Linked DNA regions of Lonchura striata. The protein of the gene in region 1 interacts with the protein of each later gene in a pairwise test. Links are inferred from orthologs where the notes say so. Each region holds a gene or a part of one and is shown in the gene's direction. Other genes may lie near its edges.

Evidence for each region.
Region 2: the proteins of NAB2 (region 1) and RFC5 interact in binary tests that used the Homo sapiens proteins (3 or more experiments, as listed by UniProt). The link is inferred for Lonchura striata from reciprocal best matches to the Homo sapiens genes NAB2 and RFC5.
Region 3: the proteins of NAB2 (region 1) and TCEANC interact in binary tests that used the Homo sapiens proteins (3 or more experiments, as listed by UniProt). The two-hybrid records come from large-scale screens. The link is inferred for Lonchura striata from reciprocal best matches to the Homo sapiens genes NAB2 and TCEANC.
Region 4: the proteins of NAB2 (region 1) and MORF4L1 interact in binary tests that used the Homo sapiens proteins (3 or more experiments, as listed by UniProt). The two-hybrid records come from large-scale screens. The link is inferred for Lonchura striata from reciprocal best matches to the Homo sapiens genes NAB2 and MORF4L1.

What each region holds. Positions count from the first base shown.
Region 1 is NC_134629.1:5,746,487-5,753,805, forward strand, and holds NAB2 (NGFI-A-binding protein 2), read left to right. Parts: upstream 1-4,311; 5' UTR 4,312-4,370; coding exon 4,371-5,165; intron 5,166-5,385; coding exon 5,386-5,519; intron 5,520-5,987; coding exon 5,988-6,039; intron 6,040-6,202; coding exon 6,203-6,335; intron 6,336-6,421; coding exon 6,422-6,622; intron 6,623-6,715; coding exon 6,716-6,810; downstream 6,811-7,319. Other genes in the region: NEMP1 (nuclear envelope integral membrane protein 1), read right to left, coding at 623-744, 1,295-1,655. UniProt on the Homo sapiens protein: Acts as a transcriptional repressor for zinc finger transcription factors EGR1 and EGR2. Isoform 2 lacks repression ability.
Region 2 is NC_134620.1:3,082,938-3,090,887, reverse strand, and holds RFC5 (replication factor C subunit 5), read left to right. Parts: upstream 1-4,934; 5' UTR 4,935-4,984; coding exon 4,985-5,016; intron 5,017-5,123; coding exon 5,124-5,188; intron 5,189-5,282; coding exon 5,283-5,419; intron 5,420-5,632; coding exon 5,633-5,712; intron 5,713-5,920; coding exon 5,921-5,994; intron 5,995-6,130; coding exon 6,131-6,290; intron 6,291-6,393; coding exon 6,394-6,475; intron 6,476-6,554; coding exon 6,555-6,684; intron 6,685-6,859; coding exon 6,860-6,937; intron 6,938-7,023; coding exon 7,024-7,078; intron 7,079-7,214; coding exon 7,215-7,311; 3' UTR 7,312-7,490; downstream 7,491-7,950. UniProt on the Homo sapiens protein: Subunit of the replication factor C (RFC) complex which acts during elongation of primed DNA templates by DNA polymerases delta and epsilon, and is necessary for ATP-dependent loading of proliferating cell nuclear antigen (PCNA) onto primed DNA.
Region 3 is NC_134604.1:99,181,747-99,189,556, forward strand, and holds the start of TCEANC (transcription elongation factor A N-terminal and central domain-containing protein), read left to right. Parts: upstream 1-4,804; 5' UTR 4,805-4,827; coding exon 4,828-4,882; intron 4,883-4,912; exon of another isoform or gene 4,913-5,144; intron 5,145-7,810.
Region 4 is NC_134613.1:23,960,859-23,968,083, reverse strand, and holds the start of MORF4L1 (mortality factor 4-like protein 1), read left to right. Parts: upstream 1-4,222; 5' UTR 4,223-4,349; coding exon 4,350-4,407; intron 4,408-6,037; coding exon 6,038-6,084; intron 6,085-7,225. Other genes in the region: ADAMTS7 (A disintegrin and metalloproteinase with thrombospondin motifs 7), read right to left, coding at 694-1,037, 1,680-1,854. UniProt on the Homo sapiens protein: Component of the NuA4 histone acetyltransferase (HAT) complex which is involved in transcriptional activation of select genes principally by acetylation of nucleosomal histones H4 and H2A.

The sequences.
Region 1 (7,319 bases):
CTGGCTAGAAACTCTCAGTTTCTTTCTTTGACTGAATCTGAGACCCACATGAGCTCACTGCTCTCTGCAGCTTCCTGAAAGGTGGCTGTGCTCAGGTGGGGTCGGGCTCTTTCTCCAGGAATGGACAGAACCAGAGGACACAGTCTCAAGCTGCACCAAGGCAGATATAGGTTGGGTATTAGGAAAAGGTTTTTGACTGAAAGACTTGTATGTGACATTCACATTCTCTGGACAGAGAGACACAACTCTGTCTCTGAAGCACAGAGAGAAGAAAACAACCTTTATACTAAATCCCACATAGAGAAAACAAAAGAACAGAGATAAAGATTGTTTTCTTTTCTCCTCCTGAGAGACAGAGGTCTGCCTCTCTCTGTCCAAAAAATGTGAATGTCACAGTCAAAGCTCTGGAATGTTCTGCCCGGGGTGGTGGTGGAGCCACCACCCCTGGGTGTGTTGAACACAAGCCTGGGTGTGGCACTGGCTGCCGGGCTCTGGTTGAGGTGTTGGGGCTGGGTGGGACTGGATGACCTCGAAGGTCTCTTCCAAGCCAGTGATTCTGTGAATTCTGTGAACGGAGGGGCTGCAGCAGGGACAATCTGCTGCCTCCTCCTGCTGCCCCCACCTGTGTCCTGGTCCAGACGTCGTTCCAGCGCGGGACGCGGGTGTTGGTGTAGCAGAAGCGCCGGGATTCCCCGTGCTGGGACGCGTGGCCCTCCTGCAGCGCCACGATCGCATCCTTGGGGCCTGGCGAGCACGGAGAGAAGGGCTCAGGCCTTGCTGCCCCTGCTTCACCCACCCAACCCCTTCTCTCCACTTTGCCATATTCCCCACGGTATTTCCGCTGTTTTCCTCGGAATTCGCCCTCGCTTCTTTTCTGGGATAACCCCGTGCCCTGTCGGGATCAGCGCATCCCCATCCCCGCGTCCCTTCTGGCCCGACTCCCAGCTCCAAAATCCCACCTCAGCGACACAAACCCGAGGGTGCCTCCGGCACGCACTCGCCCCCCGAGGTGAAGCGGCTCCCGAACGGCATCGAGGCCCGATGGTACCGGGAGATCGGCGCGGCGGGACACCGGGACACGAAAGCCCGGTCCCACCGGGCCGCACCGGCCCCGGGAAGCGCTCAGAGTGTTCCCTGGGGGCGGAAGGTGCCTCTCAGCGGACACCGGGCCGTTCCCCGTGGCCCACGCCGCCGGTCCCATGGTCCCGCCACGCCGCCCCGGGAGCCGCCGCTGCCCCGCTCCCCACTATGACTCCCCCCGGTCCCCGCCCATGGACGCCACTGTCCCGCGCACCTGCAGCTTCCAGGAGCAGGAAGGACAGGAACAACAACAGCAGCAGCACCACCGGCAGTCCCGACAGCCGCTGCCGCCCCGGCGCCGGTTTCATCCCTCCCGCCGCGGCTGCACCGGCCGCTTCCGCTTCCGCCCGGTCCCGCCGCCGAGGAGAGTCCACAGCCAATAGGAGAGGCGCTCGCCGGGCTTTGTCGTCGATTGACAGTTGGTTTAACCTATCAAAATTCAGCTTTGATCTCGCGCCCCTCCCCTCTGTTTCTGCCAGGTTGATTGACAGAGATTTTAACCTATCAGTAGTGAGCATGCAGGAAGCAGCCATGTTCCCGCCCTCGGTTACCACGGTGACCAACCTGCCCGCCATTCACTCAACAGCCACGCCCCACCCTGGTAACGGCTCTGACAGACTCGCCCCTCGACCAATCAGAGCGCAGGCATCACAAGCCACGCCCCCACCCCTCGGGTATCCCGTGTGATTGACAACCGCCTCCGCCTATCAGGGCGCGGCCTCGCGGTGTTGGCGCGAACGGGTCACGCGTGGGGGGCGCGCGGGTCCCGCCCCTCGCCCCCCGCCCCTCCCGCGGCCGCCGAACCCGCGGGCCCGGGGCCCGCCGCTCCCACCGGCCCGGGGCCCGCCGGCCCGCACGGGGCTCTGCCAGCGCGGCCGTGGCACGACGGTCACCGGTGACCCGCGGCGCGGAGGGGGTCCCGCATCCCACGGGTCAAGCGGCGGCTCGGCTCGGGGGCTCCGGTTCGCCCCGCTGCCGGCACCGTCTGTCGCTTCGCGGCGAGGCTCCCCCAGTCCCGGGAAGGGGGTGCCGCTCTCCGCGCGGGTTCCCCCCCGCCCCCCACCGTGGGGCGGTGGCCACCCGTGGGCGGGCAGCGGGGAGCGGGCTCGGGCGGCCCCCCCGCTCCCCCTCCGCGGGCCGTGGGCGGCGGAGCCGGGAAGCGGCGGGGCCGTGGGCGGAGGATGTGCGTCAGCCGGGGGCAGCGCCGGGGCTGGGAACGGCCCCGCCGCGCCGGACGCTTGGTCGTGGAAGGCGGGGGGAGTGACAGGGGGGCTGTGGGGAGGGGGTGAACCGGGAGGGCTTGGGCAGGACCCCCGCCATGGGGACCGTGCCCGTGCGGGATCCCCCGGCAGCACCGGGGATGTGCCCCGGGCACCGGCACGGCCCCCCGGCCAGGATCGCGCGGGGGCGGCTCTGGCCCCACGCCAGGCGCCGGCCGCGGTATAAATAGCGCCGAGGCACGCAGGGCCGGACCGGGGTGCGGGCCGTGACACCCCCCCTCCCGCGGGAGGGACCCCGGTGCTGCCGCCGAGGGGCTTCAGCATCCCCCCAGCCCACCCGAGACACCTCCGTGCGCTCCCGTTCTCGCCGCTCCGGGGAGCCGCTGGCGCGCTCCCCCCGGAGCCCATCGATGGCAGCGTGTGCGTGCCGGTGACACCGAGTGCCAGCCCTCCGCAAGGGCTCCGGCACCGGGGGGCACTGCCGGGACAGCGGTGCCGCTACCCGGAGCATCCCCGCTCCCGGTCGGGTTGCCACCGAAACCGGGGATGCTGCGAGCGCTGCCCGCGGGACCCCCGGGATTCAGGGTGTCCGCGCCGACACCGAGCACTGCGTCCCCATAGCGGGCTTCTGCCTCTCCCACGGGCCCCCCGTGCCACGCGTGTCCTGCCCGGTCCCTGCCGGGGTTGCGGGACCCCCGATGCCGCCGTGCGGGGCGCCGCTCCCGCTCTCCTCCCGCTGCTCCGGTGCCGGGGGGGGGTGGGGAAGAAGGGGGGCCGGTGCTGCCGCCTCCGCCGCTGCCCCCCCCCCGCGCTCGGCGGGGGCGGCAGCCGCGGGATCCGCCCCCGGGGCCTCCCACGCGCGGCGCAGCCGGGGCCGCTGCTATTTCACGGTCCCGCCCGTGTGGGCGGCGCGCAGAGCGGCGCGGCGCGGCGGAGAGAGAGCGCCCGGCCCGGCCGCGGGACCCCCGAGCCCCGGCACCCCTCGGACCCCCGGCTAGAGCCGGCCCCGGAGCCCCCCCGCCCCTCGCCGGCCGCCCGGCGGGGCGGGCGGAGCGGACGGAGGCGGTTCCAGGCGGCGGTGAGCAAGCGGGGGACGGCGGGAGGGGACGGGGCACCGGGGGGCACCGGCCGGGGCGGGAGTCCCGGGGACCGTGGCCGTGGTGGGAGTGGAGGGACCGTAGGGGGACGGAGCGACGAGGGACACCGAGCAGGGCGGGGGGCCCACGGGGTGTTGGCTACGGGGCTCCGGGCGGGTCCGGCGCGCCGGGATGCACGGGGAGAGGATGGGACCGGGGGCACACCGCGGCACCGGAGGGTAGCGGGAGGGGTCGGCGGGCTCGTGGGGGAACGGCGGCCGTGGCAGCACTGAGGAACCGTGGGGACGGCGGGGGGATGGAACGGCGGGGGTCGCCGGGCAGAGCAGAGCCCAGGGAAGGGGTGACCCCGGTGGGTCCGGGAGGAATGGGGGAGGATGGGGCACAGGGTGGGCTCGGGGCTCGGCAGGGCACCAAGCAGCTGCGGGGACGCTGGGGGAGGATGGCCCTGGTGGGACCGGGGTGGGGATGGGGGCACCGAGTGGGGCGGGGTCACCAGGGAGGGATGGCCCTGATGGGATCCAGGGGACCACGGGGGAACAGGGCACGGGCAGGGCAGGGGCTGGGGGATGTTGGCCATAGGATCGGCATTGGCACATCCCCCCGAGGATGGGGGGGCTGGGGGAAGCCCCCAGATGTGTATCCTGCTCCATGTGAGGACCTGGCACGGAGGGGCTGCTGGCTGGGGTGGGGGCAGAGGCTGGGCACAGCCCAGGGTAAGGGGTAGGGGCTGGGATGAGTGACCCCACTCATGTCTGTGTCATACCCAGGACTGTGGCCGCAGGGACCGTCCCAGCCCGGAGCACATGGGTGGGACTGGGCACCCCGTGGGGTTTAGGGACACTGGAACACCCATCCATGGGAATGCTCCCTTTGCCCTGTACCCCCAGGCCCCAGGGTGGGGAGGGGCTTTCTCCTGCATGTCCGTCCATCCCGGTGGTGAGTCCGTCTGTCCTCTGTCCACCACAGGCTCGTCATGGCCCTGCCCCGCACGCTGGGGGAGCTGCAGCTGTACCGGGTGCTGCAACGCGCCAACCTGCTGGGCTACTACGAGACCTTCATCCAGCAAGGGGGGGACGACGTGCAGCAGCTCTGCGAGGCGGGCGAGGAGGAGTTCCTGGAGATCATGGCGCTGGTGGGCATGGCCACCAAGCCCCTCCACGTCCGCCGCCTCCAGAAGGCCCTGCGCGAGTGGGCCTCCAACCCGGGGCTCTTCAGCCAGCCCGTCTCGGCTGTCCCGGTCAGCAGCATCCCGCTCTTCAAGCTCTCCGAGGCCGGCGGGCGCAAGGCGCTCAGCAACGGGCACGCCAGCCCCGGCGAGGCCGCGGGCAAGGGGGGCGGCAGCGCCGGGACGCCCCCAGCCCGCAGCCCCACGGAGCCAGGGGAGAAGCTGTCACCGTCAGCGGCTCCACCGTGGCCGGGAAGGAGCACCCCCGAGTCGGAGGGTGGTGGGGACGAGGAGCCGGGCGGTCCCCCCTTCTCCCCGGGCGGGAGCAGCGGGGAGCAGGCGGTGGGCACGGAGCTGGAGCCGGAGTTGGCACGGACGGTGGTGGAGAGCGTGGAGCGGCTGCTGCAGAGCTGCCCCCGGGGCGGCGAGGCCGAGCTGCGGGCGCTAATGAAGCTCAACAAGAAGCTGGCCAAGGCTGTGGGGCACATCTTCCAGCTGGAGGATGGTGACCGGCAGAAGGAGGAGGAGATCCGCCGGCACAGCGCGATCTACGGCCGCGGCGAGGCCCGGCGCCGCGAGGGCAAGCAGCTCACCCTGCACGAGGTGGGCTCCGTGCTTGAAGTTCCTGAGATGTGCTGGGCTGGGACAGGGACCGGGGTGGCTCTGGGGGTGTGGTGAGTGGGTGGGATTCGAGGTCTCCTCCCACGCCGGTTGCATCCACCAGCCTGGAGCCGGCGGTGCCTTAGCCGAGGGTTGCGTGGGCGCCGCTGTCCCGTGGGCGCTGCCGTCCCTGTCCCCGCTCACGCATCATCTCTGCCCCCAGCTCATCATCAATGAGGCGGCCGCCCAGTTCTGCCTGCGGGACAACTCGCTGCTGCTGCGGCGCGTCGAGCTCTTCTCGCTGTCACGACAGGTGGCACGGGAGAGCACCTACCTGTCCTCGCTCAAGGTCGCCAGGTGAGCCCACACCTGGGAAAACCCCCCCTTGCAGGCCTGGTGGGGCCTGGCTGTCACCCCCTTGCCCCCTGGGACCTGCACCATGATCCAGCACTTCTGGATGGGGCCAGGACCCTACAGCCCCCAGTTCCCTTTTGCCAATGTGGGTGGTTTCTGCCTGACCTCGGAGCGTGGGATGTGGGGAGGATGGGAATGATGGGGATGCCAGGCGTGGGAAGGGATGCCAGGCAGCAAAGGGATGCCGCTGGGGATGCCCTATCTCTTGCCTCCATCCCCAAAGTCCCCTGCCCGCTCTGCCAGGGTTGCTTTTTCCCTTTGCTCTCCAGCTGCCTCCCTCTTTTTCCGCCCCCAATTCCACCCGTGCCAGATCCCCAGCTTCTGGCATTGCCCTGCTTGGCGGTTCCGCTCACAGCGCGGTGCCTTGCTGCGGCCACCCCCACCCCTGACACAGCCCCTTTCCACCCCCAGGGCCCATCCCGAGGACAGCGGCGCCGTCGTGGCCAAGCGGCTCAAGCAGGAGGTGGGTGCAGGTGCAGGGGGAGCGTGTGCAGGTGTGCACACCTGTGAGCGTGGGTGTGACGGCGCAACGTGCCCGGGGCTGCCCATGCCAGCTTGGGGTGACGGCTGTGGGTGTTCTGGGGTGGGTGCTGCGGGGGACCTGCTCACCTGTGTGCTCCTGGCAGGCGGGAGAGCAGAGCCGTCCCGAGCTCCTGGCACTGCCGGTGGGGCTGGAGCCCCCCGGGGCCGGGTACCGAGCCAGCGTGGAGGAGGACACGGGCAGCCTCTCCGGGGAGAGCCTCGACGGCCACTTGCAGGGTGAGTGGGGGTCCTTCCCTTTCCTGGGGGGCTGGTGGTGGTCGTGCCCCGGCTCCTGGCGCTGAGTGTCACCCCTCTCTCGGCAGCGGCGGGGGCCTGTCCCCGGCTGACCCCTCCGCCCGGTGCGGCCCCGGACGTGCCCCTCGGCCTCGCGCCCCACGGGCTCTGGAGCCGCCACATCCTCCAGCAGACGCTGATGGACGAGGGGCTGCGCCTGGCCCGCCTGGTCTCCCACGATCGCGTGGGGCGGCTCAGCCCCTGCCTGCCGGGGAAGCCCCCGGGACCAGGTGAGCCCCCGCGGGGCCGGCGGGGCAGGACGGCACCGCTGCCTTCTCCTGTAGAATCGCCATCCTGACGCCATCTCCGTCTTCTCCCCACAGAATTCGAGGACGGGCTGGCAGAACGGGGTCCGCCGGCCCCCCCAGACCCACCTCGGGGCACCATCAAGGTGGAGCAGGAGACCAGCAGGCAGTGAGGCCCCTGTAGCCCCCCCGCCACCATTAACGAAGCAATAACGTGCTGGGGGGACGGGTGCGGCGGCGCTCCGGGCCGGGGGAGCTTGGTGGGCGGGGGGGGGTCTCATCCACAGCCCCCCCGGCCCCCTCCCGTCCCACACCGACGCTCTGGTTACCTCAGCCGCGGCGGGATGCGACTCCCAGCAGCAGCAATACCTTCATCCCGCCCGGCTCCGCTCCCTCGCCGTCCCCCAGGGCTGGGGAGCCCTCGATGGACTGGAGCTCCCTGTACAGCCCCGTGCTGACCGTCCCCCCCACCCCGGGCCCGTTCCCGCGTGGGGACAGACGCGTCGCACTGTGCGCTCCCACGTCAGCGCTGCCGCCCACGCCGGGCACACGGTCCCGTCCGCCACCCCCCCCACCCGCAGCGCCCACGCACCAGCCGCCAGCCCCCTCCCCGCAGCACGTGCCAGCTCACTGTGCACCCCCCCTGCCCACCCTGCGACCCCCGCCCCAGCACCGCATCGGC
Region 2 (7,950 bases), on another chromosome or scaffold:
TCAACACCCTCCAACCTTATCAACACCCCCCAACCTTATCAACACCCCATCGTCACCAGCACCCCCCAACCTTATCAACACTCCTATCATCATCAACACCCCCCAACCTTATCAACACCCCGTCATCAACACCCTGTCGTCATCAACACCCCTCCCAACCTCATCAACATCCCTAACCCTCATCACCCCCAGCCCCATCACCCCCACACCTCTCCATCCTCATCATCACCCTCCCTCCCCATCAACATCCCCCCAACCTTATCAACACCCCATCCTCATCACCCCCAGCCCCATCACCACATCCTCTCCTCACCCACACCCACCTCCTCATCAACACCCCCAACCTTACCAACACCCCCATCCTCATCAACACCCCCAACCTTACCAACCCCCCATCCTCATCAACACCCCCAACCTTACCAACACCCCCATCCTCATCAACACCCCCAACCTTACCAACCCCCCATCCTCAACACCCCCAACCTTACCAACACCCCCATCCTCGTCACCCCCAGCCCCAGCACTTTCCCACCATCCCTATCCACCCCAATTCCCATATCTCCTCATCCCCACCCCCCCCATTCCCATCACCGCCCCTCCCCGTGCCCACCCCATGCCCCAAACCCCCCATCTCTCTATCCTCATCACCCCGTCCCCATCCCCCTATCCCCACACCTCCCCACCCTCATAAGAATTCCCCCATTCCCGACCCCCTCCCGCCATCCATCCCCCCGTCCCCACTCCCCTGCCCTTCCCCCCATCCCCAGCCCTTTCCATGCTCATCCCATTCCCTCTGAACCCCGGGAATGGGACAGGAGGGCAGCACCAGGGGGGAAGGGGGGATGCTGAACTGGGGGGGAAGGGGGCAGGGAGAATGAGGGGGGGTTAAATGGGGGTCTGGGGTAACGGGGGGTGGAAATAGGGATCTGGGGTAGTGGGGAGTGGAAATAGGGATCTGGGGTAATGGGGCTTTGAAATGGGAATCTGGGGTAATGGGGGGGGTGGAAATGGGGATCTAGGGTAATGGGGGGGGTGGAAATGGGGATCTGGGGTAATGGGGGGGGTGGAAATGGGGATCTGGGGTAATGGAGGGGTGGGAATGGGGATCTGGGGTAACAGGGATGGAAATGGGGATTTAGGGTAATGGGGAGTCAATGAGGAAGTGGGGGCTTGGACATTGTGGGGCTGGTGCTACAGGGGGACCTGGGGAAATGAGTGGGGCTGGAAATGCAGGGCAGGGATATTGGGAGGATAATGGGGGGCTGGGGAATGCAGGGGATCTGAGGTAATGGGGGAAATGGGGCATTGTGGGGGCTGGGGCAGAGATGGAGAATGGAAATGGGGGCTCTGGGGAAATGGGAAGTCTGGGACACTGGGGGGCACTGAGGGGGTCTAGGGCATTGGAGGGTCAAGCCCCATTGGCATTGGGGGCCAAGCCTGGCCAACACTCAGGAATTATTCAGGACAGAAAAGGGACATCCCAGCTCTGGGGGAGAACAAGCCAAATTCCCAATGGCTTGATCCATGCTCATAGTGGTCTACTCCTTCCGAGATGGGATATGGCTAAAAAAGCTGGATATCTGCTGATTTTTTTTTTTTTTTAATCAGGAGTTTTAATTTTCAGGCTCATCCCCGAGCTGGGATGTCCCTTTTCTGTCCTGTCCCCAAGGCTGGCTGTGAGGAGAGCTCAGAGGGACCCCTGGGGTGGGAAATGACATCAAGAACTGCCAGGGAAGGGAAGGGAAGGGAAGGGAAGGGAAGGGAAGGGAAGGGAAGGGAAGGGAATATAAAATAATTTGCAAGCAGGGAGATTCCATTGGGATAAAAGCACCCATCCCAAAAGCCTGCAGCAGCAGAGCTGAAGGAATTTTGGGTGTTCACCAAACTTCATGATTCCCAAAAAACCCTACAGCAGCGCATGGGATAGCTCCCATGCTTGGAGCTGGCCATGGTCTGAGAGGTGGATGAACATTCCAGGCAGTGGGAATGGCACAATCAGTCCATATAAAAATATCTGGTAATATTTTAATTGACTTCTGTTGGTTTTCTCCATGAGGGAAGAGTCTGGAGTGACTCAGAGTCTCTAAACTGGGTTAATGTTCCCTCAGTGCCAAGGTGCTCTTCCAGGCATGACATCCTGCTGGGAAGGGAGAGGGAATGCCCTGGCATGGCCACTCCAGCCTGGGAAACCAACACCACTGCACCACACCAGGGCTTTCCCATCTAATTCCCCCAAAACCACCCCATGAGGGTTCACTGCTCCAGCTCAGGGTGAGCTCCTCCACAGGAGCCTTTGGATTTTGTTATTAATATGGCAAAGAACTTCTTCAGCTGCACATGGGGTGGGGGGATCCCTTGGATTTCAGCTCTTAAGGAGCACCTGTTTAATCCTCTGTGGAAGAGCATCTCTGTTATCATCACCCCCAGCACATCACCTCTGTCCCATCCCCTGTCCCTTCAGCCTTGTCACCATCATCCCTGTTCCTATCACCTCTGTCCCTTCATCCCTGTCACCATCATCCCTGTTCCCATCACCTCTGTCCCTTCAGCCCTGTCACCATCATTCCTGTTCCCATCACCTCTGTCCCTTCAGCCTTGTCACCATCATCCCTGTTCCCATCACCTCTGTCCCTTCATCCCTGTCACCATCATCCCTGTTCCCATCACCTCTGTCACCATCATCCCTGTCCCATCATCCCTGTTCCCATTCCCTCTGTCCCTTCATCCCTGTCACCATCATTCCTGTTCCCATCACCTCTGTCCCTTCAGCCTTGTCACCATCATCCCTGTTCCCATCACCTCTGTCCCTTCATCCCTGTCACCATCATCCCTGTTCCCATCACCTCTGTCCCATCATCCCTGTCCCTTCAACCTTGTTCCCATCACCTCTGCTTCTTCAGCCCTGTCACCATCATCCCTGTCACCATCATCCTTGTCCCTTCAGCCCTGTCACCAGCACCTCTGTCCTATCATCATCCCTGTCACCATCATCCATCTCACCATCGTCTCTGTCCCATCACTTCTGTCATCATCTCTGTCACCATCATCTCTGTCCTATCATCCCTCTCCCATCAACCCTGTCACCACCCCTGTCACCATCACACCTGCCCCATCATCTGTCTCCTCATCTCCATCACCATCATTCCTGTCACTGTCCCCCTGTCCCCTTTCCCTGTCTCCATCATCTCTGTCCCATGATCCCTGTCCCATCAACACTGTCACCACCACGCCTGTCTCCTCTTCCCTATCCCATCATCTCCATCACCTCTGTCACCACCACCTCTGTCCCATCATCCCTGTCCCACCACCTCTGTCCCTTCATCCCACCCAAGAGGGAAACCAGAGGACATGCACCCAACCCCACTAAACAACACCCCAAAGATTTCCCCTGCTCTGGAGCCCCGGATTTATTACTGGTGGGGAAACACCTGGAAAAATCCATGTAGGAGGACAAGAGCCTGCCCCAGGCGAAGGCAGCTCCAGGGGAGAGCAGCAGCTCTGGATCCAGGACGTGCAGGAAAATCCCAGCTCCCGGCTGTTCCCAGGTGCCCGGGAAGGACCTGGAGGCTCCGAAGGGAAGGGCCATCTGTCACGGCTATCACGCGCCCAGAGGGACAGCTGAGGCTGCTGACCTCAGCTTCCAGCTCCTGCTTTCCTTTGTGGGGCTGCAGGGGGGAAAAAAGGGAAAACAATCAGGAGAGAAGGTGCCCTCCAGCAGATTTTTGTGTTTTTATAGGATTCAGCTTGGAGCTCTTGATGTTTTCACTTCCTTTGTCAGCAACAGCATTTTTCTAGGGATTTTTTTTGCCTGCCCTGTACCTCCACTTCCCAAGGGATTGCTTCCCATCCTCACTCCACCTGCGTTTTCCAAGGCAGTGCCTCTCACTCCTGCCTGCTTTCCTTTCTGGGATCAGCACCGGAGCATCGCTGCAGCAGCCTGGGCTGATTCTGCTCTCTAAGCTGCTTCTCTAAAGGAGGCTCCAGGGGTTTTCCAGAGGCACTGGGAGACAGCAGGGACAGGGATGAAGATTACAGTTGTTTTGTGCTGGCAGCCACCTCTAGAGTTTGCTGCTCCTGTCACACTGGGAGGATCCCAAATCTGCTCTCCTCGGATGTCCCTGCACCCAAAGGTGTCCCTCTCATCCCATCGGCTTTCCCAGGGCAGGTGCAATGTGCTTTCCCAAAACCTCGATCCAGCAATTCCTGCTGCCGTGATTTCCCCAGGATCACAGGCACCACTCTGCTCTGAACATTCACTGTGCTCTTCCCACAACCACAGAATCATGGAGCAGGTTGGGTCGGAAGGGACCTTAAAGGTCAGCTCGTTCCAGCCCCAGGGACAGCAGGATGAGGGGATTCTCCCTCTCCACTCAGGTGAGATTCCAGTGGGAATGCTGTGCCCAGCCCTGGGCAGGCACAGGGACAACCTGGAGCTGCTGGAGTGAGACCAGAGGAGGAACCAGAGCTGATCCAAGGGTTGGAGCCAGGCTGGGAGAGCTGGGGGTGCTCACCTGGAGAGGAGAAGCTCCAGGGAGAGCTCAGAGCCCTTCCAGGGCCTAAAGGGGCTCCAGGAGAGCTGGAGAGGGACTGGGGACAAGGGATGGAGGGATGGGACACAGGGAATGGCAGGCTGGATAGGATATTTGGAATTGGGAATTGTTCCCTGGGAGGGTGGGAGCCCTGGAGCTGAGGTCTCCCAGCGGTGCCCGGGGACATCTGGCCCTGCCAGGCGCTATGAAATGGCCTCTTAATGAAGAAAATTAAACCATCCTCTACTAAGACACGGGGAATGGATGGATACTGGGGAGGGATCGCTGCCTGGGAGGGGAGCAGGGCAGGGATGGCGCTGGATGCCCGGAATCTCGGGACTCGCAGCCGGGACCTCCCCGCTCCGGCGAGACCCGCCCGTCCCCTCAGGCCGGCCCCGCCCCGCCGCTCCCGCCGCTCCCGCGCGCTCGGCGGCGCTCTCGCGAGACTTCCCGACATGGCGCCGGCGGGCAGCGCCAACCTGCCGTGGTACGGCCGGGAGCGGGGGCACCGGGACACCGGGACACCGGGACACCGGGATAGCGCGGCGGGACTGCCCCGCGGCTCACTCCCGCTCCTTTCTATCCCCGCTGCAGGGTGGAGAAGTACCGTCCGCAGGCGCTGTCCGAGCTGGTGTCTCACCGGGACATCCTCAGCACCGGTAATGAAGCTCTCTCCCCGCGGTGACCATCCCCGCCGGTCCCGGCTGTCCCCCAGCCCCGTTATCCCGTTGTTATCCCGTTGTTATCCCGCAGTGCAACGCTTCATCAGCGAGGACCGGCTCCCCCATCTGCTCCTCTATGGGCCGCCCGGTACCGGGAAGACATCGACCATCCTGGCCTGTGCCCGGCAGCTCTACCGGGAGCGGGAGTTCGGCTCCATGGTGCTGGAGGTGAGCGGGAATGGGATGGGATGGGATGGGATGGGATGGGATGGGGTGGGGTGGGGTGGGGTGGGGTGGGATGGCATGGCATGGCATGGCATGGCATGGCATGGCATGGCATGGCATGGCATGGCATGGCATGGCATGGCATGGCATGGCATGGCATGGCATGGCATGGAGGGATGGGATGCAGGGATACAGATCCACACCATTCCCTTCCAGCTCAACGCCTCCGATGACCGGGGCATCGACATCGTCCGAGGGCCCATCCTGAGCTTCGCCAGCACCAGGACCATCTTTAAGTACGTGGTGGGTCTGTGCTTCCCAAAGCTCCCCATCTCTTTGGTGCCCTCCTGCCCTGGCACTTGGATTGGGAAGGGGATTTGGGAGGTCCCGCGGTGGGTGGGTGCCCAGCAAGCAGGCAGGGTGAGGATGCAAGAAGGGCTTCCCAGGAGTCGGGCTGGGAACAAACATCCCAGCTCCCCCTTCTCCAAACCCCTCTTTTCCTAGGAAAGGCTTCAAGCTTGTCATCCTGGATGAAGCCGATGCCATGACCCAGGATGCTCAGAACGCCCTGAGGAGAGGTGAGGGGCACTGGGAATCCCACACCGCATGGATCCCACACTGTGGGCAGCCATCGGCCTCATCCAGCCCGGCACAGGGTGGGAATCAGGACGAGGCAGCAGCCAAGGACCCTCCTCCCCTCCGTCCTTTTTGCAGTGATCGAGAAGTTCACAGAAAACACCCGGTTCTGCCTCATCTGCAACTACCTGTCCAAGATCATTCCCGCCCTGCAATCCCGCTGCACCCGCTTCCGCTTCGGCCCCCTGACCCCGGAGCTGATGGTGCCGCGGCTCCAGCACGTCATCCAGGAGGAGGGGTGAGCGGGGGGTCCCCCCACGCCCCCTCTGCCCCCTTCCCTGCCAGGGAGGAGCAGCAGGCTGGATTCCCACGGTTCCACTTCCCCGGGGGTTGTTTTCCAGGGTGGATGTGACCGAGGACGGGATGAAGGCTCTGGTGACCCTCTCGAGCGGGGACATGCGCAGAGCCCTCAACATCTTGCAGGTGGGAGTGTGGCCATCAGCCCCTGGCCAGCTGAGCTGGAGCGGCCTCTTCATCCTTCCTGTTCCCTCCTCTTCCTCAGAGCACCTCCATGGCCTTTGGGAAGGTGACAGAGGAGAACGTTTACACCTGCACGGGACATCCCCTCAAGTCTGACATCACCAACATCCTCGACTGGATGCTGAACCAGGATTTTTCCACTGCCTACCGCAGTATCCTCTACCCTGGGGGTTATTTCCAGCTGGGATAAACCCTGCTCTTTCTCAGGGATCTCTGTGGCCTCTGGGGTGGGTGCTGCTCACTGGGGAGGCCCCTCAGGGATGTTCTTCATAGCAGATCTGGCAGGGAAACGCCTGGAAGCAGGGCCTTGACTCGCTCTCATCCCAGAAATCATGGAGCTGAAGACGCTGAAGGGCCTGGCCCTGCAGGACATCCTCACTGAGATCCATCTCTTCGTGCACAGAGGTGGGGAAAGGGTCTGGCTCCGGATGATTCTGGAGAGGCCACACTTCCTCCTGCCCCTCACTGAGTGTTTTTTTTTCTCTCCACAGTCGACTTCCCCCCCTCCATCCGCATCCAGCTGCTGATCAAGCTGGCAGACATCGAGTAAGTGTCACTCCCACAGTGTGGGCACCCTGGGGTGGCTCCTGGTGGTGGCTGGGCACTGCTGGCACACAGCCTGTGGTTTTGGGGGGCACCCACAGTGGTGGAAACCCCCAAAGCTGCCCTTGGCCCCCTCCAGGTACCGCCTGGCTGCTGGCACCAGTGAGAAGATCCAGCTGAGCTCCCTCATCGCCGCCTTCCAGGTCACCAGGGACCTGGTGGTGGCTGAAGCCTGATCCTGCCTGATCCTGGATCTGCTGCTGGATTTGGGAAGGACCATCAGCACCATGCCTGGAGCTGCTCCCTGCAGCTTCCCAGATCCTTTTTGGAAGCCTTGAGTGCACAGTCAGGGTAAAAAGGTTGTTAAAAGGTAGCATTATTCCCAATGGGAAAATACAGGTGCCTCCAAAGCCCAGCAGGTTGCACTGGTCTTTGCTTCTCCCTCCTGAAGGGAGGTGGGGGGTGAGGGGTGCACCAGCTTTCTGTGTTCAGCTGTTCCCAAGGGATAAACAACATCCTGGAGATGTTTGAAGGAGAATTACCTCCACAAAGCCTGCCAGCACACAGGGAATGTGCTGTTGCTCCAGCCACCAGCTAAGCTGGAGGATGGGGACAAACAAAACACTGCTGCATGCTCAGCATGTCTGGGAATTTGGTTGATTGAGTGCCACACTCCAGCACGGAGAGAAAACAACAGAGGAATGGGAGCAGGGGGTGGAGTGAAGCCACCTCTTCCCACAGATGGACACTTCTGGCCAACCATTTCTGCCACACCACTTCCCTGGCAGCCAGGGCGGTGCCAGGCACTCCCAGGTCACCCGAGCAAGCCAGGAGGGAAATCATGTGGAATCAATTTTTATTGATTGAGACCTGCT
Region 3 (7,810 bases), on another chromosome or scaffold:
AATTTTAAAAGTGCTAGAACAGATACTATACTCAAGAAAGCCACATGTTCACTTACAGTGAGTTAATCATTAGCATCATCTTCCTGCCCAGGATGTAAATATATGGGAGTCCTAAATTTCTTTGTCTTCTTTGAAATTTCCAGGATTTTAAAATAGTACCCTTTGTAGGCTGGCTTAAGTATATGCACTATTGAAAATGCATGTGAAGGTGTAAATAGCAAGATAATAATGTTTGCCTTTATGGTTCAAGAGAGTTAAATTGAAAGGTGGCTGCAAAGAATCTTGTGATACTGAGTGACTGTGCAAGCAAAAGGAATATGAAAATTAACTGCAGGTCACCACAAGTAATGGAATAAGAAAAAATAATCAATTCTCTTTACATGGATATAGTCAGTGGCTCTAAATTAGCTAATACCTCTAAGAAAAAATGATCTGAGAATGGCTGCATTTTCTTTTGGAAACTCACTTGCACTGAAAAAGATCCAATATATTTTTCTCATATTTCCTGTACTGGCATTGCAGTCCACCAAGATGTGTAGTGGTGGAACACAGGATCACTTTGTAGTTGATCTACTTGCTGGTTCCTTCAGAAGTAACTATTTCAAGAGCACTGTGTGTATATAAACAACCCCAGGCCTGCCACAACAAATTCATATTTGACTCATTAACACCAGACTGGTTCACTGCCTGTGCATAGCAGAAAAGGGGACACAGAGAGAGCTGCTTATCTCAATTTCCCTCAAATGAAGTGTTCTTCAGTGCTTAACTAAGCAAATTACTCAGATGGCTTCATAACACTCCGCTGACTCTGGCAGAATTTCTTCATAATCTTCCTGGCAATTCAATTTCAGGTCTTCCAGGTGGTATATTCCCTCCCATGTACTGGAACTCATGCCAGGAGGAAGAGACAGGAAACACATGGGATATATCTCTCATCAACACTACCTGGTTAACTTTATGTGCATCATCCTCATAATCCTAAATTCAGCACACTCCAGTGTTACAGAAAATGCACAGGAATCTCAAGACGTGGAAATAAATAGCATGGGCTGCCATATCAGGAGAGCTGAGCAGCATTACTGCCAAGCTCATCCACTGCTCAGTGCTGGAGGCTTTATCTTGTCACACAGAAGCAGCATCAGTTCAACACCAGCCTAAGGAAATCCAGGGCCTCATCCACCTCCTTCTCAGAACTGGATCAGAGCCTGAAAATGTGAAAGTGACTCTTGAAAAGAACAGCCACCCAAGAAGTCACTCTTTGCATGTATCAACAAATTTCAAATGCTGCGATTGAAAGTGTTCTCACAAAATGAAATCTGTCATAAAATACGGCCCAATTCGTGGATTTTCAGAGTCTAGGAATATGACATTTATATAGGATTCCCTTCTGCATATCATTAAGGATAGAGGGAGATGACTGTTCAAAACACTTTGTGTGGAGTTGCGTTATTTGTATGTTTTATTATCCCTGTATTATGTATTGGTTTATTCCTTTGTGGGGCGGGAGCACGGCAACTTTGGCCTCGATTTAATTTCATTTAATTATAATGCTTTGCTTCATGGTTCATATTATGTTTTTTGGGTTTTTTTTTCCTCTCTTGCTAGTAGAAGGCAGGGAGCCTTTTTAAAAAGAGAATCACATTTCCACATTTTGTCTTTTTCCTGGGAACTCTAAAATCAATACAAATCCAGACTTATGGACAAGATAACCTTTAAACAAAAAAAAAATTAAACTGAAGAAAGCTTTTCAGGAAGAATTACAGTGGTGGAGTACAAAATTAATGTCATAAATCCTATTATGCCATTAAGATAGGACACAATTTTAAAAATAAAGTAAAAATATATTAAAAATTATGAATAAATTATATCCATGTACTTGGTTTTGTTGGTTTTTCTTTAAAAGTAACAATTTTAAAAAAATCAAACAAATTACAGAGGCGTATTTGAAGCATATACTATTCTCTACAGAAACCTTATGATGGACCAATATTTTTCCAAATAGTTCTCTGGATACTCAATATTTTACCAGCTGCCAGAATATCTCCATCTTTTGAATAGAAGCCTATGTTTCTAGAAATGCAGATGCTTATCACAGCCAATACTGAAGTTTCAAGGAAGTTATCACTGGTACACTGATATTATCCTGGAAAACCATACAGAGACAAAGACATACACATATATCATTACACATGTATACATATATGTATGAATTTACTGAGTGTATAATTTTAATATTTTTTTAATTTGCTTTACTTCAAAGGTATTATTGTATCTGTTCTATAAATGGGAAACTGGAATAATGATGAATAATTTTATTCATTGGATCAAAGACAATTTAATGGAGATGCCCAAACTGTCCTCTGAGTGAGGAACCAGTCTCCAGGAGAGGCACCCTCAATTTTGATCCCATCTCAAAGGAGGGCTAATCACAAGGAAAAAGCCATGTTCTCTTTTTGCTTTCCTGCCAAGGGAGCTCTGTGACTTTGTGGTAGGCACTTTCAGCTGAGGACATAAGGAATTCGGTATGTACTGTTCTCATAATCACACAGGTACAGAAAGACTAAAGAAAACTGGCATTTAAAGCCTTGGAGCCCCAAACTGAAATGAAACTGCAAACTCCTGGATGTTGCAAAGAGAGCTGCTGCTGAATTCCTGACATATGTAGGCTACAGAAATAATTCAAAATATGTAACACAGGCCCCTGCATGACATGCCACATTTGAACCTGGAAGGTTCTGATCCTGTTCTGCTAGTATGTTACTGTGTCATTTCTGGACAGTCATACTTCAAACTCTTGATCACTGGTTTCATAAAACTCTTTGGCATAGGTTTTGTTCCACTCTTTTTTTTTTTTTTTTTTTTTTTTTTTCCCGTGTGAGACACAAAGACGAGGCAAAAAGGAAGCCTGATTTCAACTGTGGCATTCAGCTACTCATTGCATCACATATTCAATCGCTGGTGAATTCATGAGTCTGGCACAAACACACTGTGAGTGACGAATTGAACAGCATTAGCAATCAGTGTATAATGCAACCATTTCAGCTCTTTCAAGGGAAGGTTTGAGATCACTCAGTGATGAGCACTGATAAACTGGTTCACTACAATAATTTATCTATTTTTTTTTACATCCTCTACAACAATGCAAGGCTTTTTTTCTCTGTGTGGTTAGTAATGGTGATGTTCATTATGTCAAAATAAGGAAAAAGAGGTCTGCATTACATGATATTCTTGCCAAAACATATTTGGTGCCTTCAGGTAGGTAAAATCAGATTACTGACAGCAGAGGGCAACACAGACCTCATTAGTGAATAAAACCAAAAACATGTATTAAAAAATCATACAAACATTTTACTGTATTGGAGTATAAACCCCAGCATCATTTATAGATTTACTGTAGAGCCAAAATTCTGGAAGTAGCAATCTCTTAAAAAATAATTTTGAACACCTATGTGAAATACATGAAATAGGAAGTACATGGGAAAGAGGAAAGCATTATAACAAAGGCAATGACAAATACCTTTGACTAAACTGCATTTACTTTTAGACGTTTACTGCATAATCAGACATGTCCAGCAGACTTCATCATATCAAAAAGCTGTAACCTTACGAGACTTTATATTTTTTTTTAACTCTGTGTATACCAATAGCTCCATTTAGCTGATTATACCAAAAGCAACACAGTACTATATTGAAAACAGGAAGTTTTACAACTTTTTTGTTGTTGTTCTCCGTTAGCCTTTATCTTGTGTGTCACACTGCCTTCCCTAGCCATGTTTGCCGGAGAAGGACCATATAATGACTGAAAGTTTCAAATCACATGAATGTCATTTATTTTTCATTCATTTTAGGGCTGAGAGAAGCATGGTGGGGCTCGCAGACCAATACCACAAGAAGGTCATGCCCTGCCACAGGGCAGCATCATGGTGTCCCTTTCGCCCCACAGCCAGATCCAAGTACCAGATCCAAGCCCAAAACAGCCGGCAGCCTCAGTGGAAAGAAACTGTGCCCGCACACCTGAGGCTGCTTGGGACAGCGAGTTATTTCCAGGGCTGCCGCCCGCTCGGGAGCGTTCTCACCCTGCGGCAGCCACGGGCACAGCACAGGAGCCCACAGGGAATACACCTGCCACGGTCATCCCACGGCAGATTCACGGGATCAGTTAGCTTGGAAAAGAGATCAGTGCTGATCAGCTTGCTCCGAGATCAGCGAGTCCAGCCCCTGACACAACACCGCCCTGTCAGCCAGACCACGGCACTGAGCACCACGTCCAGACGTCCTTAAACACCTCCAGGGACAGTGACTCTGCCACCTGCTTGGGCAGTCCATTACAGCATCTAATCATTCCTTCTGTGAAGGAATTCTTCCTAATGTCCAATCTAAACCTCTCCTGGCACAGCCTGACGCTATGTCCTCTCATCCTGCCACTAGCTGCGTGGGAGAAGAGGCCGACCCACAGCTGGCTACAGCCTTATGTCAGGTGGTTGTAGGCAGTGATAAGGTCACCCCTAAGCCTCCTTTTCTCTCGGCTAAACAACCTCCGCTCCCTCGGCCGCTTCTCCTAGGACATCTGCTCCCAGCCCTTCTCTGGACACGCTCCAGCACCTCAGTGTCCTCCCTGCAGAGAGGCGCCCACAAGTGGGCACAGTACTCGAGGCGGCCTTAGCGGTGCCGAGCACAGGGAAAGAATCGCTTCCCTAATCCTGCTGGCCACGCCATTCCTGGTACAACGAGACGTGGTTTCTGTTTCCTGAGACACGCGGAGCCGCCCCACGCCCGGTGTCCGCCCGCGCCCCGGCGGCGGCGGGAGCGGCGCGCAGCCGCGGGGAGATGGCGGCGGAGCGGGGAGCGGGCGGGCGGCGCCATGGCGGGCCGCGCGGCGGAGGTGAGGGCGCCGGGGCGCGGCGTGCGGGAGCGGCGCGGCGTGCTTCGCCGGGGGCAGCGGGAGTGCGGCTTCTCCGCCTCACTAGCGTCCGGGGAGCCGCCGCCCTTGCCTTGGCGCTGGCGGTGAGGTCGGGGGAAAGTCTCAGAGGCACAAGCCGCCGGCTGCTCCGCAGCCCTGGTTTGCCCTTCAGCGCCGTGCCAGCCCCGGCTGGCCCTGGGGACCGAGGGGAACGGGGAGCAGCGCCCAGAGAAGCGGGGCTTTGGTAGGTAGGGCTGAGCTTGCTTTTCCTCCTGGCCCGGCTGTGCGGGACAGTATTTCGCCCCTGAGCAGGACAGCAGTGGGTCAGAATTAAGCTAGACGGGTCCGGGGATGTGTAGTAGGAACGGATATGAGGAGCCAGAGGAGGTTTAAGTTGGAAATAATTAGAAAGAATTTGTTCACCACGGCGATTAGGTGCTGGAATGGGCTGCCCAGGGAGGTGGTGGAGTCACCGCTCCTGCAGGCGTTTGAGGACGTGGCACTCAGTGTCATGGTCTGGTTGACAGGTGATGTTCAATCACAGGTTGGACTCCATGATCTCAGATCTTTTCCAGCCTAATTAATTCTACGATCTTGTGAAATTTTAATTAAGAATCTGGAGAAAACCCCACAGAGTTAGCATGTCCCTGGCATTCTGGGTCACAGAGTGTGTGGGCACGCCGGTGTCGTGGGAATCGAGCACAGGCAGATTTGCAGGCTGATCTCCCCCAAGCTTCATGGCCTGGTGACCGAGATGAACACTCCAGTAGCGATTCTCAGCCGCTGGTGGCATGAGCCTGACCCCAGATCTCAGCCAGACAAGCTGTCACCTGTGGCTGGCTTCGACGCCAAGCGAATGTGAGCTGCTTCCAAATGCACACGACTGGGCTGCTGCTCCCAGCTGCCGTAACTTCTGTAATTCCACTCACAGAAGAGGCTGACCTCGGAAGCTACAGGATGGATATCTGTAATGGTGCTATTATGGGAATTCTTTATGTATTTTTTATATTGGTCTCCATGCAGCATTGATGTCTTGAAATAAGATATATGTTGGTATAAATATAGAAAGGAGCTAGAGTCCATGCTTTTAAATGTAGTATTGTTTTAATAGTTAAATAGATAAAAATCCATTTCATTTAAAGTGTATTTCAACCTTTGCTTAAACCAGTGCATCATGGGTCTTTGATCAAGGCTCTAAAGTATTAAGAAATTTTGTACTTTCACTTTTAAGTGTTCATATTTTAGCATAAGAAATGTCAGCAGACACTAATAATATTTTACAAGTACCATTTGTTTAAATCATACTCTTTATCCATTCAGAATGGATGGCCTTTTCAGGAGCATATGCACTCTCCTGCACACAAAGGATTTATTTTTAAAGGAAAAAAGTTTTATAATTTTTCAGTGGAAAACCTGTAAAACAACAACAGTGATACTTAATCTAAATATGGCCCTGGCAATGGAATGACAAATAGAAATTGTGTAGAGCCAAGACTTAACTAAAAAAAAGAATGTTAAAGCAATGAAAATACAGTGTTTATCTGACAAATGATGACAAGCTTGCAGAAGTTCATAAAGCATGTCTTTATTACTTACGTGTTCCATTTTTATATTAATTTGTCAGTACAGTTTTTCATAAAAAGACATCGGAAACTTAGCATTTACCTTTACTTGTAGTGGGCTAGAATTTAATTCCTTGGTAGCTGTGTATGATTAAGAATAATCTTTAAAGCTATTTTGTCAAGGAAATGTGTTCAAAAGAAAGCATTGCTTATTTCTCTCCAAAATGATTCATATTTTCATTCTGAAGTATTAAGTTAACAAATGTACTTTAGATGGATATGTCTTAAGTACATTTTTACTTACTGATTTAGGCTTCTGTTTTCAAGACAGTCTGTTTTGTTGGACTTCTATGCCAATGCAGAGCTCAGTGAAAGCAGGAAATGTGATCCACTCCAGGAAAGCTTTGTTTAGATTGAGGTTGTCCAGGTTTCAAATAGGTACATCTGCAAGAGGATATAAACAATATTTGTGCAGACTGAAAAACAGATGGAGACGTAAGAAAATTTGATGAGATCTTTCACTTAAAAGCCAGTGTTATACCTGCAGCTCACAACATGTTCTTCTTTTCTGTAGGTTTAAAAAGTTCTAATTCTTCTTGGATAAATGAAAAAAAAATTAAGATAAAATTACAAAATAGTGGAGGAAAGCTGTAAAACCAAGAATGAGCATGGATGGTAACATCTTTGTAGGTAAACAGGGAAAGAATTTTCAGTCTTTTGTCGTTTTGTAGTAGACAATTGTTTTATACATAATTTTGTAGTTATAATAGAACATGTAAAAGTCTGGTTTTTTTTCAAGTACTGGCTGCTGGAGACATGTTTTGCATAATACTGTAACCTTTCCTTTTTAAAAAAGGTGCAAATTCCCTATCATTCTGTCTGAGGTGGAAAGATGGGAAGACAGTTCCCATTTTTTTACTTCTAAGAGCATCATAGTGTATAAACCAATCTCAATGTACCAGGAATTTTGAATTACAATTTCCCAGTCTTTGGGGGACAATGTTATGAATGCTTCTTGTGCACAGAGATTGAGTAGAGGGAGCAGAGGGATGCAATCCCAGTGGTGTTGAAACACCAATAAGACATAAAATTAACTGAAACTGTTACCTGTATAAGGCAATACAGTTAAAGGATGTTGAAAAAAATGGTTTCTACTTGGAGATATCACAGCCTTCTTGAATTATTTTGACTGGTTTGCTGTCTGAAGTGATTGGAAATATGAATATGAACATTTGCATCCATCCAGATGAACAGTTAGGAGACTGAACTATATTGCATAAAAGTAGTTATTTAATAAATGATTACACAAACCCACTTAGAACATGTTTCTATTGCCAGGAATGTTTCT
Region 4 (7,225 bases), on another chromosome or scaffold:
CCCAGCCAGTGCCACCCCTGCCATGGCAGGGACACCTCCCACTGTCCTCGGTTCCAACCTGGCCTTGGGAACTGCCAGGGATCCAGGGGCAGTCCCAGCTGCTCTGGGAATTCCAGCCCAGGCCCTCCCCACCCTCACAGGGAAGGATTGTCCAGAATATCCCATTTACTCCTGCCCTCTGGCAGTGGGAAGCCATGGAGGATCCCATGGAGTTGTGCTCCCTCCAAAGTGCGGGACACGAGCATGAGCACTGCAGCACCAGGTACGTGGGGCCATTTCTGCAAACCCACAGGAGGTTCTAAGCCCTTTCCCCCAAAATGCCACTCTCCAGGTCACTGCTGCCTCAGGAAATACCGACGGTGGAGCCGAGGAAACAGCAAGCAGCTTCACTGCTGCCCACGAGCTGTGCTGTCACAGCACCTCCAGCTCCCAGCCCCTCGCTCACAATCCCATCACGTAGCAGCAGGCAGAGAATTGCTCTTTTTAGGAATTCGGACACAAACAAGTAAACCCAGCCCTGGAGAGCTCCCAAACCACTGCAATCCATGGGAAATTTACAGTCAGCTCGTCCATGGCCGCACCGGACCTGCACGAGGAGATGCTGGCTCTGCTGCGGGGAATTTTGGTGTCACTCCTGGCGGGACAAAGGGTTCCCCGAGGGGCTAGGGCTCCGTGGGGAGGGGCTGTACTCACCAGGCCATCGCAGGTGCTGAGGGCAGCCAGCCCGCCCTGCAGCGCCCGGCCCCGCACCTCGCCGATCATGTGGCACGAGTCGGAGGAGCGCGGCTGGATCTTGGCACCGGCAATGCCCCCGAAACGCCGCTCGCTGACAAAGCCCGGGGCCAGGAGGTGCCTGTTGAGGCTCAGGTTGAATTTCAGGGGCTGCCCTCTGTACTGCAGCTCGTAGAAGGCGGGAAGCTTGCTCCTGGAGGCCGGAGACCTCCGCTGAAGGGCCCGGTGCGACAAGTCGTAGGACAGGAAGGATCCGCGCTCGTCCACCTTGATGGGATGGACGATGTCGCTGCCGGAGCGCGGCTCTGGGGAGAGGGGGTGCCGGGGTTACCCGCAGGGTTCTTCACCTTTCCTCCCACACCCCTTCCCCCGCTGGCGGCGGCAGGGACCGGGACACCAGCTGGATGTGCCCGCTGGGACGGCACGGAGCAGGGACAGCAGGGAGAGCAGGGACATCACAGCAGGGACATCAAGGAGAGCAGGGACATCACAGCAGGGACATTAGGGAGAGCAGGGACATCAGGGACTGCAGGGACAGCAGGCACTTCGCCTGCCCCTGCTGCCCCCGGGGCCAGCGCTGGGCTTTGCCGGGGACAGCATTAAGGTCCGGGTTAGGGCCGGCTGGGCGAGGGGGAGTCAGGCAGCTCCGGAGCCCGGCCCCGGCTTGCCCCTATTAACTCCCGCTGTTAAACTCCAGCTGCAAGGAGAAAAAAGCACCGAACAAACAACGAAAATCTCCCGAAAAATGGAATCCACGCTTTGAGGCGGTGTTGGGACACGCCGTCTCTAGGAGCAAAGCGCCCGCGGAGACTGAGTGCTCCGGAGCCGCCCCGGGCGGGCTCAGCGCGGACAGCCGGGAGGGCACCGGGGCTCCCGGGAGGGCACCGGGGCAGCCGGGAGGGCTCCGGGGCTCCCGGGAGGGCACCGGGCTGTCCGGCTCCGGGCACCGCGGCTGCCGGCTCCGGGCACCGGGCTGTCCGGCTCGACGCCGCCGAGCGCCCCGCGAGCATCCCGCAGACACCCGGCGCTCATTGCCGCGGACAATCCCGCGGACAATCCCACGGACACTCGCGGCTCCACCCGCTCATCCCCGCGGACAATCCCGCGGCTCCACCCGCTCATCCCCGCGGACAATCCCGCGGACACCCAGCGCTCATCCCCGCGGACACCGGGGGCTCCACCCGCTCGTCCCCGCGGACAATCCCGCGGACACCCAGCGCTCATCCCCGGGGACAATCCCGCGGCTCCCCCCGCTCATCCCCGCGCACCCCCGGCGCTCGTTCCCGCGGACAATCCCGCGGCTCCCCCCGCTCATCCCCGCGGACAATCCCGCGGACACCCAGCGCTCATCCCCGCGGACAATCCCGCGGCTCCCCCCGCTCATCCCCGAGGACCCCCGGCGCTCGTTCCCGCGGACAATCCCGCGGACCCCCGGCGCTCCGCGGCCATCCCGCCCCCGTCCCCGCGGACCCCCGCGCCCCTCCCGCGGTCCCGCCGAGCCGTGCCCCGGACCTGTCCCCGCGGTGCCCCCGCCCGCGGCCAGCGCCAGCGCGGCGGCCACGGGGACGAGGGGCAGGAGCGGGCGCAGCGCGGCCGGGGCCGCCATGGCTGCGGCGGGCTGGGGGCTCCGCGGGGCGGGGATATTCGTGTTTGGTGTTATTCATATTGGGGCGGGGTTATGTACATCAGGAGGCGGGGTTCTATTGATGCCTTAAGTTTCAGCTTTCCCATTTTCCGCATTCTGCACTGCTTTAGTCTGTAGCTTGGAGCTTCCTACAGAGTGTCAGCAGCTCCCTCACAGCTCAGTCACACAGAGCAATCCTTTTCCAGCCCAGAGCCAAGGACACCGCTGCAGCTTCAGCACCAAAAAGTGCAAACAATAAATTGAGGAGAGCAACCCGGCAGGATGGGACCGCACAACCTGGAGCTGCAATTGGACAATTAACCCAATATGGAAATGGACCAAAACTTATAAAAGTGTGAAAAATCATGACCTGGAATCCAACTTGGGTGTAGCCACGCTCAGGCTCTTGTACTGCCCAAGGTGTACCCTGTGAAGGGATTTAATAAATCCCTGCTTTATTCCTTTAACTCTGCCCGGTTTTGTTCCAGGCAGCCTCTCAAGGCATCAATGCACGCCGGACGGGCGGGGCTATGTACATTCGGGGCGGGGTTATACCAATTAAAAGGCGGGGTTATGCACATTAGGGACTGGTTTTGCCAATTAAGAGGCGTGGTTATGCACATTAAGGGGCGGCTTTATGCGCATTAGGGGCGGGGTTATGTACATTAGGGGCGGGTTTCTGTGTATTAGGGGCGGGGTTATTCACATTAGGGGCGGGTTATTCGCATTAGGGGCGGGGTTATGCACATTAAGGGGCGGGGTTATGCACATAAGTGGTGCTTAGTCAATTAAGGGGCGCGGTTATGCAAATTAGGGGCTGTGTTATGTACATTAGGGGTTGGGTTTTGTCAATTAAGGGGCGTGGTTATGCACATTAGGGGCGGGGTTTATTTGCGCGTTGCCAGCGTGGCCCATGGCGCCCCCTGGCGCTCCCTTGCCGCTTTGCATCTTTTGCCTGGCCGTGAGGACCGCGATTAAAAAAATCACAAAAATTCAGCGAATTTTCGGTCAGAAATAAAAAACGGTCTTTGGCTGATGCCGCCATGTACTCCCTTTCCTCTGCCGGGGCTGCCTGTCGCTGCCTCCTTTTATTTTCTCTCGTGTTGAAGCGCACCGGGAGCAAACACGCGGGATTACTCCTCTCTGTTAATTACCCCCTCGGGGGCTGCTCGCAGCTCTGGCATCCCACAGCTTCCCCGGGACGGCCGCACCTCCGCTGATGGATTACGTTTGGGACAAAGTTTAATTAGGCGATAATGTTAACTACGCCAATTAGGCGATAATGCTAACTCCGCCAATCAGCCGGGGGCGCGCCCTCTGGCGGCCGGAGCAGGGAACGCCCTTACTGCGGGTGCCGACACCCGCTGCCGCCGCTGGGTGTGCGTAGCGCCCGGCTAGCTCAGTCGGTAGAGCATGGGACTCTTAATCCCAGGGTCGTGGGTTCGAGCCCCACGTTGGGCGCATTGCGTTTTTCCCGTTTTTTCTCGGTTTTCATTAATTTTTTCGCCCCCCGGCCCGATCCGGCTGCTCACGGCGCGGGCAGCCGCGCTCTGGGCAGCGGTCCGGCTGGCGGGGCGGAGCGGGCGGGCGGGACTGCATGTCCCGGCATGCCCGGGCCGCGGCTGCGCGGCGGGGCCGGGCCGGCGGCGGGGCCGGGCCGGGCGGCGCCGGGGCCCGCGGGAGCGGCCGGAGGAGGGACCGGCCCTTATAAATGGCGCCCAAGCAGGACCCCAAGCCCAAGTTCCAGGAGGGTGAGTGCGGCAGGGCCCGGGGCCGTGCCCGGTGCGGGGCCCCGCTCTGGCCCCGCTCTGGCCCCGCTCTGGCCCCGCGGCTCGGGGGGGTTTGGCCCCAGCGCTCCCCGCTCAGCCCCGACCCGCTGGGAATAGGTGGGAAAGCGAATTCCCGCAGCTTTGTCCCTTCCCGGCCTTCCTCTCCGCTCCCGGCAGCACGCGGGCCCTCCCCACCCCGTTCTATCCTTCATTTTCCTGCGCGGATGTTCCTCGGTGTTAAAACGGCTGCGAGCCCTCCGGTGTGTCGGGGGTTTTGTTTTGGTGCGTTTGGAAAATGGTTGTTATTTTTTTTTATTTGTTTGTTGTCGCCCGGAAGGGAGCCCAGTGCAGGAGGATTCATGGAGGCAGCGGTGGATGCCAGCACAGCTGGAATCCACATCTGCCGCAGAGCACCGGGGTTTAGGTGGGTAAGGATGACTCGGGCTGTTTAGGAGGATTTTTCGACGTATATTTGGATTTTTAGGTGATGGTTGAGGTTGAGATTAATAAAGTAAGAGAAACGGAAATAGCAGTGCAGTGTAAGATGGATGCCCCATCCCTGGAATGTCCCAGGCCAGGCTGGACGGGGCTGGGAGCAGCCTGGGACAGTGAAGGTGTCCCTGCCATGGCAGGGTGGGATGAGATCAGCTTTGTTGTAAGGAACAACGTGTGGATCCAGGGATCAGCCCGTGTGTGAGGGAGCAGGAGCCTGCCGGGTTATCATGGAGACAAAGAACCCTTTCTGCGGATCATCCCTGTGTTGTTAAAAATGAATGTTCCTCGGTAACTGTGGGCATCTCTCCTGCAAAACACTGCCCAGCTCTGAGGCTGAGGTGTGTCTGCCACCAGCACTGTGAGCACCGTGACGATGAGGGTGGCAATGCCACCTCTGATTGTCAGCCCCGTCTCTAGGGACATTTTTAAATAAATAAAAGGACCAACTGTGTGATGCATCAATGTGGACAACCAGCGCCTTTTTCTTTGTGAGACACAGAGGCATTTCACAGTTCCACAGCTCATCTTCCCAAAAGCAGAAAGCACTGCAGCTTCCAGGAGGAGATGTGCCCTCAGATATCCTGGGTTCAGCATCCTGCAGTTCCCTCAGTGGAGCCACACAGTGAGGCTTGGCCACGAGGAGATAAAACCGGCCTGAGGGACAATGTCATCCTGCTCCAAAGCCCACAGTGAGGGGGTTCTGCTGCTGCCCAGCCCTGCCCTGCCCCACAGGCTACGTGGGGAAGCAGCATGGGGGTCTCTCTTCCTGACTCCCCTGGGCTGGCAATGCCATGTGCTGCCCTTCCTGCAAGGAGAGGACACGGGTGACAGTGGCAGGAGCTTCAGGTGCAGAGGTGGGTGTTAGACAGTGTCCTGGGTCAGTGACCCCTCAGAGGGGCAGCTCTGCCTGCCTGTGGCTGAGCCCAGCCTGCTGTGGGGGCTGCAGCTCCCCGAGGCTGGGGAGGAGCTCTGGGGATGTCAGGGAGGAGCAGGGATGTGGGCTTTGCTGCCAGAGTCACCAGCACTGTGTGCTGTGTGTGTGCAGCTGCTCTGGCATCTCGGGGATCTCTGCTCTGATCCCTCTGCCGGGACAGAGCATTTGTTTCTGGGGTCAGTCCTGCCTGGGAGCTGCCCCCAGGCTGCTCTGTGCTGTTCCTGGGGCACAGGCTGTGGGCATGGCCCCTGAGCTGTTTCTCTGCGCTGTTCCTGGGGCACAGGCTGTGGGCAGGGCCCCTGAGCTGTTTCCCTGTGCTGTTCCTGGGGCACAGGCTGTGGGCATGGCCCCTGAGCTCTTTCCCTGTGCTGTTCCTGGGGGCACAGGCTGTGGGCACGGCCCCTGAGCTGTTTCCCTGTGCTGTTCCTGGGGCACAGGCTGTGGGCATGGCCCCTGAGCTGTTTCTCTGTGTTTCCCTTGCAGGTGAGCGAGTGCTGTGTTTCCATGGACCTCTCCTTTATGAAGCCAAGGTGGGTGTGGGAGGCTGCAGGTGGCTCCTGCTGCTGCCCAGGAAAACAAGGACATGTTTCTGTCTGCTGTGCCTCTAGATGGGACCAAGGACTGGAACTAAATTTAACAGAAAGCTGTCTGAAATCAATTTCAGACCCTGGGGCTCTATTCCAGAACCATTTCAGGAAGCCCAGTGGCACCGTGCAGCTATTTTGGGAAGCTCCCAGAGGCTGTTAGAACATCCCAGAACACTGAACACTGGAAATATCCCAGAACACTTTGTGCCTGCAGGATTTGGTGCCTGAGCTGCTCAGGGGGAGGGGGCTGAGTACAGCCCGTGGCCTTCCACAGCACCAGTGCCCAGGAGGAGCTGCACTGCAGTGACAAAGGACGTGGCAGTCCCAGTTCTGCTTCCCAGCTCTGGCTCTTTCACCACAGGAGCCTGCAGTGCAGATTTGTGCCCCTGCTGCCTCAGTGTCTGAGTGCCCCACTCCCCCTGGAAGGGAAGGAAAGGGCTCTTGGGGCTGTGTGGGTTGGAAGGTGTGCAGAAATTCCTGGGGCACCTCAGACAGGGATTTAAATCCTTTGGATGTTAACACAGGGAGGCAGGAGAAGCGCTCAGCTTCTCTCTTCAGGAGAAAGAGTTGTTGTAATGCTAAAATCTCTCCCAGAGCACTGAGAGGGTTTGGGCTGCTCCAAACCATTCCCACCTTAGGGCTCCTACTCTGCTCTTTCCTGCCTCTGGATCAGAAGGATGAGGTTGTGGGATTTGTTGGGAATGTGTGCTCAGGGTTGTTGTGCCTGCAGAGAGGAGGGTGATGGAGGCTTCTGGCTTTGAGGCAATGACCTTGTGCCACCCAGCCAGCCCCGAGCTGGAGCAGCTGTGCTTGCCCTGCTCTTGCCAGGGTGGAATGAGTGCTGCAGGAGCAGGCTGTGCCAGCTGGGTGCTGCAAGGGATTTCCCAGCTCACAGGTGGCTTTTGGCTGGCTGTTTGTACCCAGTGGGTCCTTCAGCGTTCCTGCGCTGGCAGAATGATCTTGAAGTTTAATTTTAAAAAGGTTTGACTTGTTTATTTTAAAGAGTTTCATTTTAAAAGCTGCTTTGTCAGTAGTAATGAATAACAACCTTGGCTTTCTTCCTGCTCCTTTGATCTGTTTTTCT